Linked DNA regions of Lonchura striata. The protein of the gene in region 2 purifies or fractionates together with the protein of the main gene of each other region. This does not show direct contact. Links are inferred from orthologs where the notes say so. Each region holds a gene or a part of one and is shown on either strand. Other genes may lie near its edges.

What was found. Proteins that work in one complex are often made in the same cells at the same time.
Region 1: the proteins of CCNF (region 2) and RBX1 purify together in Homo sapiens (affinity purification with western blotting, with the first as the bait; 4 studies listed by BioGRID). This does not show direct contact. The link is inferred for Lonchura striata from reciprocal best matches to the Homo sapiens genes CCNF and RBX1.

What each region holds. Positions count from the first base shown.
Region 1 is NC_134607.1:24,899,754-24,903,498, reverse strand, and holds the start of RBX1 (E3 ubiquitin-protein ligase RBX1), read right to left. Parts: upstream 2,522-3,745; 5' UTR 2,466-2,521; coding exon 2,388-2,465; intron 122-2,387; coding exon 43-121; intron 1-42. UniProt on the Homo sapiens protein: E3 ubiquitin ligase component of multiple cullin-RING-based E3 ubiquitin-protein ligase (CRLs) complexes which mediate the ubiquitination and subsequent proteasomal degradation of target proteins, including proteins involved in cell cycle progression, signal transduction, transcription and transcription-coupled nucleotide excision repair.
Region 2 is NC_134618.1:2,548,624-2,552,368, reverse strand, and holds the start of CCNF (cyclin-F), read right to left. Parts: upstream 2,771-3,745; 5' UTR 2,718-2,770; coding exon 2,705-2,717; intron 1,282-2,704; coding exon 1,127-1,281; intron 711-1,126; coding exon 604-710; intron 1-603. UniProt on the Homo sapiens protein: Substrate recognition component of a SCF (SKP1-CUL1-F-box protein) E3 ubiquitin-protein ligase complex which mediates the ubiquitination and subsequent proteasomal degradation of target proteins.

The DNA.
Region 1 (3,745 bases), on a different chromosome or scaffold from region 2:
CAGCACATACAAGTCCAAATGTGACCCTCCCCATGTACTTACACAGATCCATAATGTGGTTTCTGCAAATGGCACAGTTATCAACCACAATGTCCCATGCCCACAGAGCTACGGCGTTCCACTGGAGAGAGGGGGGAAAAAGAAAAACAGTTGTGATTCAATTTACGCTGGACAGCAATCCTTGCTATTCTTCAAGATACCAGGTACTTTTTGAAATAGAAAAGCTAGGATATTAAGGAAAAAACAAATCTTAGAAGTCCAGAACAATTCCTCATCAAGAGTTTAGGTTACTAGGAAGCAGTGGTACATTCCTCTCACAAACCTCCCAGATACGTCTCCTTCCCACCTGAAAAAGAAGGTAACTCCCACAGTCCCCCTTCCACTTTTTTTTTTCTGTGAAACAAATGCAAACATCTGGATTTCTATTCAAGATCCAATGGAATCCAAGGAAGTAGTTCATGTCAAACCCTAGATTCTGAAAGAAAGGACAGCCCCTTGGAGAAAGACCAATTCAGATGTAATTTTTGTTAAGAGGAATTCCTATTATTTGTGGCAGTTCTTCTAGTAATCATCCTTCTGAGCAGTTGGGGTCAAGAACTAAATCTCTAATGCTACTCTCCACTGACTCCTGAATAATGTTCCCTACAAAAGGTTAATAAGCAACAACCTATCGGCAAGGCTGGATATAAAAATTTCAAAGTACTATCAAATCAATCTTTCGAAGACTTACTTTATACATACAAAAAAGTAATAGCACTGTCACATGCTACTTCAGGGGGTTTGAGAATTTTAGGACAAGCTATGCAGAAAAACCTTTTTATGCCTCCAGACAAAACTCATAATCAGGTCTTCTGTAAACTCATTAAATAAATGGGCCTGCCTTCAATATCCAAAACAATCCAAAATATTGTACTGGTATCAGGATAATCTTCATTTACGACTTACGTAGTATAGATTTTTGTCCCCCTTACATTTTTTCAGTATATATTTGCACTGACTGTACTATCTTCTCTACTGTGTTCCATTTCCATCTCAATGTTTTCATTGCTTTCCCTCAGTTTGGGACATTAAAGAAGGAACACTGAGTTCCAAGTATTGATAGGCAGTTTCACACTTGGGTAAGCTCTTCAACTTTTCATTAGTACAGATATAAAAAGTAGTCACAATACTACTAGATCTTTTAGGACATGCACCAGTAGTGATCACATGTTTCTTCCCAGTCTTCTAACTTCAAGACTAGCTGGCCTTCTGGCTGAAGTATTCAGTCCTCATGGACTTCATCCATACTTCAAGCAGCTAAGATAAAAGTTCTCAGCACCCTTATCTCTTCCATACACTCCAATACTTAATCTCTTGTCCCATTATGGTCTACTCTGATGGCCCACACACCTGTACTGAGCCACACATGCAACAAAGGTCTTGATACCTTGCTGGGGAGCAGGAATGACACTGACATATAAATGCTGCTACTTCCTACCACTCTGATTATATTTGTCCCTATTTCCAAAGGACAAGCAATTATGTCACCCAAACACTTCCTTCTGCACATATCCAGGGGTTTCCATCATCACTGATGGCAGCTGCATTTTAAACAAATATATCTACAAGCAGGAATCACTGGAAATGTTTACTGATATTCAGTCTAGGAGACACTTTTCCTCAAATTGTACCTTAGTACAAGCCCACACAATCTAATCCTGCTTCTCTACACCCACGTGAATAGCCTCAGACCATCACCATGACCCAGCTGACAAACTGGTGGCACTGGATAGGAGAGCAATATTATGACTGCTCTGAGCGAGGAAGCAAAGCCAGGGTGGCATGAGAACATTTGCTCACTAATACGTTGTTATGGCTCGATTTATGTAAGAAGGAGGAAAAAGTCAGCCACAGACATTTGCAGAAAGCTTTTTACGCAGCATATGGGGCAGCCCGGGCGGCTGGGCCACGCCACAGCGGCCGGGGGTGATGGGGAGCTGGAAGCACTCCAGCGCTGCTCGCCCGCCCGAGCTCTGGGTAAGGAGTAGCCGAGGCCTGTCCTGTCGGGGCGGCAGCGTCAGAGGAGGCGAGCGGCAGAGCCCCGGACAGGGCCGCCCCCGGCCCGTCGGCGCCCCTGCTCCCGCCCCCACCAGCGGCGCCCGCTGATTGGCCAGCTCCCGCTGCACGTGCGGCGGCCCGCCTCAGCCATTGGCTAGGACGCACGCCAGGACTCCCCGCAGGCCTCGCGCCGCCCCTCCCACCGCTCCGGTGCGGAACCAGGCGCCCGGCTCCGTAAAGGGAGCGGGAATTCGCTCCCTTCTCCGTCCCGCTCTCTGGCATCAAGCCGGCCCCAGCCCCACCCCCGTTCCTCCGGGAGCAGCCAGAGGAGCGCGCCGGCGGGGCCTCACTTTCTTCACTTCGAAGCGCTTCTTGCCGGCGCCGCTGTTGGTTCCGCTGGGAGTGTCCACATCCATTGCGGCCGCCATTTTGGGAGCGTGAATCGGCCCGTCCCGCTCTGCGCGCGTGCGCGGCGCGGCGGGGCGTGGCGGGGCCGGGGGGCCGGAGGAGCGGGGGCGCTGGGAGGGGTCACCGCATGGCCACGCCCCCCACCGCCCCTCACCGCGCCGGCAGGTGCGGGGGCCGAGGGCGCGATCACGTGGGCGCGATCACGTGAGCGCGCTCCTGAGGGCGGTGGGAAGGGCGGGGCCGCGCCAAAGTTACCTCATCCCTCTGCCCGCAGCCCTCGGGCTCTCGGTGCAGCGTCCCCCTACAGTCTCTTGGGATTTGCCCCCCCGCCCTCTTCACATGAGGGGCTTCAGCCCTCAGTAGACTTCTAACTTGTTTTCGCCCATCGTAATCGAGGCAGGACGAAGTGGGGTCGGCGGTGTTGCCGCTGTAGCCCTTTATTCTCCCGCAAGTCCAGTTTTTTAAAAAGGAACATGGAATTGCTGAAGACAGGACGCGCACCTTACAGCGTGCGATTTGAGTTTACAATAGTTACAATCAATATGGATTTAAAGGTGCTGCCAGAGTTGCCCAGGCCTTGCCTGTTCTTTTGCAAGGATGGAGAGGAGATGACAGGCACGGTGGCCGATTCTTGGAGCTTCCTCTGTCTGTACCTTCCCGACAAGGTCAGTGGTAGTATTCTCCATGATATGGAAACTGAGGGCAATACACTCCCCAGCAGGACAACTATAGATCTTGAAATTTCACCCAGCTTTGCAGGTCCCTGTAGACGCGATCTCTCTGCAGAGCCACCCCTTCTAAATCTATTTGTACACTGCTGGTCCATGGATGTTGGAAAGAGGAGTTTGTAGAAGCACTAAAAGGCCATTCTCTTGCATAGATACAGGCAAGCAATATCTGTACTCTACTTCTCATAAATACTTGGGCCCAACAGCACCGTTCTGGTTTGCCTCCATTCTACCCGTCTTGCTGTGTGCATACAGCTTTTTCCTGAAACCCAGTCCTTGCTGGGGTGGAGTGTCTGACAGTCTCCAAATAGACTTAAACTTAAAGTAGGGACCTACAGTAAGAACGAGATGATGCTGGCATTGGATGTGTTTGAATTATTTTAATGTTTGGATTTGGATTAATATTTAAAAGACATGTACCACTTGTGCCTTGACTTATGCACATACCTAAATATTTGCAGCATCAGGCTGAGCCTGAAAGTTGCATAGGCAATAAAGGTAAGTTTGAAGAAGAAAAATGCCCTCCCTCATGTAAACACCCTTTAATGCCTCTCATTACCTACATGGTAAGC
Region 2 (3,745 bases):
ATTCCTCCCTCCCCAGCTGTTGTGCACATACTGGTCTGCCTCAAAAAGAAGTGACACTCAGAAGCAAAACCATTATCATGGCATTTAAACATGTTAAAGAAATCTCTGACACCAATGGATCCCCTTCAAAACAGATGGATAAAAAGATGTTCCTCATATTTTTAAAGCAGATTTATTGTTGCTGTTTCAAACTTTGTTACTGAAATTCACTTGTTTTTCAATACACTGGTTTGCACAAGAAGTGACCAAGCCAACTTAGACTTAGAAACAGGATTATTTTCTAGAACCCCTGACCCCACACGTTCATTCACATGGGAGCACCAGAAAGTGGTTTTAAGGAATGTGTTACATTCCAATCTGGAATATTAATGCCTGTGAAGACAACTTTGGTATATGCAATAGGCCCTGCTCTGGTTAAAGAGACAGCAGTGATCAGCTGTAGCTTAGATCTCAAATCACATGTTTTTTCATTTCCAAAGCAAATATTTCCCCTCTTTGTACAACTCAGATCCCCCAATTACACTGAGGACTGATTAGAACAGTTAATCTTCCTTCAAACGTCCTCTTCTAAAAGGCCAGACAAATTTGATGTTTGACACTTACCTTTCAAACATCCTCAGATGGTTTGGAGATGGCCACAGGTCTTGGAAACTTGCATGTGCCCAAACACTGGAATGATTATCCACAAGGTATTTAAGATGTGAGTGCACCTGCAGGGAGGGAACACAAAATAATGATTAACAAAATAAAAGGAACAACAGAAAAACAGGTCTTTGCAATCTTATTTTAGAGAAGTAACTAATTCGTCACAAGTTATGTTTAACTTGTTGCCTGCCTCATAACCAGTAAGGCAAGAGATGCCAAACCAAACCCATTTGTTCAGCCACAGTAATCTGGCAGGACAATTACCACAGAAAAGGAACAAAAAGCAGTCAAATACTGCTGCTACTCTTAACTTGAGCAGTGAGAAATGAAAGTCCCTGGGACAGCAAAAATCTCAACCTTGCAGGCACTCTTTGGGTTTCTTCAGGCTCTGTGACATGAGAAGCCTGTTCTGTGTGCAGTCCAGGCTCCTGGAGGCAGAGCTGAGCACTGAGCCTGGCAGAGGGGAAGCTGCAGCACTTACAGCTCTGACTGAGAGGATGTCTGCAGCAGGGAGGCCCTTCAGGATGTGAAACAGAACATCCTCGGGGAGGTTCAAGAATGTCAGGACTCGAGGCCGTTTTATTACCCTTCTCTTTGAAGGGAAAGAAAAACATCTGGAACATCTACAGTGAACCACTGGAAAAGAGAAACACAGGACACCTCAGTTAGTGAGAGCATAAAGGCAAAAAGGTACTACATAGTATTACATATATACACAGGTGTTCACTTGAGCACCTCTTCACTGCAGTGCAGGACACTGCAAACACATTAACCAGGGATATATACCTCATACCTCATTATGCCACAGAGCAGAAAGGGCTTGTTCAAATTGGTTAATGAAGCCAAGAGACTCAGAAGGGGTGGCTCAAGCTCAAGTGCTCTTCACCAAGAGCCCCTCTGAGCCCTGACTCCTGTGACCGTGTTTAGTAGCAGCAAACAGTTCAGCTGTCCCTGTTCAGTAGTAACAAATAGTTTAGCTGACACTACTGTCAATGCATTTACCTCCCCCATGCCCCAACTTTTCCTTCTCAACTGACAGCAGTCTCTGGAACACAACCAGAGATATTAGGAAGACAACCAAACCTACTCAAGCCTATCTTTCCAAGCAGTTGCTACCAGGGGTGCTAATGGAAGACCCATTGCCTATATCTTCTGGAATATTATTTCAGTGCAATATTTATAGAAATACACACAAACACACATATATATGTATACAAAATGTACTATCCTCAGCAGTATTATTGCCATGAAAATGAAATAGACACCCAAACTGGGATGCCAGTTCAGCCTATATGAGCATCCAAATAGGGACCAGGGTGTAGATGAGCAACTCAGTGAAAACTCCATTTCTATAGACAGTATGTGGCACAGGTTGATTTCAAATATGTTGCTTCACGAAACCAGAGCGGTTTAGGCTGCAAGAGAGAACTCTGGGTGTCACCCAGTTCAGCTGTCCCGCCAAGTGGGGCAGGACCACATCCAGGTAGGTTTGAGCAACTCCAAGGATGTGGATCCCACAATTGCTCTGGCCAATCAATTACCATAGTTCAGGCATTCTTACAGTAAAAAAACACTTTCTCTGCCTCTTGAATGGGGCTTCCTGCACAGTCCTGCGCACGCTGCAAACTCACAGACGCCCGAGATGTTATCCCACGCGCAATACACATCTTGACCCCTTGGCTTTGAGGGCAGGCGCGCTTAGGCACAGCCGCCAGGCACAGCCACGGACGCCGTGGTCGCGGAAGGGCTGAGGCACGGCCCCGGCGGGGAGCACCGCACGGGCAGAGCCGGTCCCGAGCACCCACCGGGCCGGGCCGGGCCGGGCCGGACCGGGCCGGGCCGCCCCCGCCGCGTTTGAATTTGGGCGCGAAGCCGTTGGCCCGGCTCCAAAGCCCACTGCCGGTCCTTTAGCCCAGGCTCGGAGTATTCCGGTAACCCCCGCCCTCAGATCCCTCAGGAGGCGCCCGGCAGGCAGAACCCGCTCTGGAGCCGCCCCTCAGCGCAGGAAGGCCCGGGAAACAGCAGCACCCGCGGAGGCCGCGGGCAGAGCCGCACTCACCGCCCGCCTTCATCGTGGCGTGTCCGCGGGGACCGCGCGGACGGACACAGCGCCCTGCCCGGCTCGGAGAGAGCGGCCCGGGCGTAGGAGGGACCGGAGAGCCGCGGGCGGGCGGGGCCCGCGGGGCTGGCACGCCCCGCTCGCGGCGCGGGCGCGCCCAGTGGGCGCCGGGAGCGGCGGGAGCCCCGCCCGCCAGGCCCGCCCGCCGCGCCACCACCCCGCCCACCGCCCGCGCGCACTTGTTTTAAACACAGCAGCCTCTCTCATTGGCCAGGAGGCCGATGGGGGCGGGGCCGTTCCCGCCCCGCGCGCTGTGATTGGTCGGCGAGGATGCGAATTCGAATCGGGGCAGTTGGCGGTTCAAACCTGTGGCGCAGCAGCGCATGCGCGGGCGGCACGGCGCCCCCTGTCGTGCGGGGCGGTGCAGTGGGGCGGGGCCGCGGCGCTTCCCTCACGGGGCTGCCGCTGCGCTCCCGCAGTCTCGTTACGCCGGGCCGGCGGCGGCTGTGGGGCACGGCGGCGGCCCCGGCTCCCCCCGGGGACCAGGAGTCTCTTCTCTCTCAGCCGTCCCTGCTGGTGCTTTGTCGCTCACAGTCACCTACACTTAGCCGAGGCTGCCTCGCCAAGGGAGCTGTTGAGGGGAGCAGTGGGGGCTTATTACTGCCTAATGATTTCCACCTTGAACATGCAGCGCCTGAGGGTGTCCGTGCTGGAGCTAAAGCATCGCGGAGGTGGTTGCGTGTCCCAGGCCGGCCTGGGGTAACCTGCCGGACAGCAGCTCTGCAGAGAAGGCTCTGGGGGTCACAACTGTCCCTGACCAGCCTTGTGTCCTGGGGCCAAGGTGGGGGATCCCGGGCTGGGAAGGGCACTGCCAGCAGGTCCGGGATGGGGTCCTGCCCACCTCTTCAGCCCTGCTGAGGCTCATCTGGAATGCTGTGTCCAGTTCTGGGCTCCTCAGGACAGGATGGACATGAAGATCCTGGAGTGAGTGTAGAACCATAGAATGAAAGGGACCTGAAGAACCATCCAGTTCCACTCCCT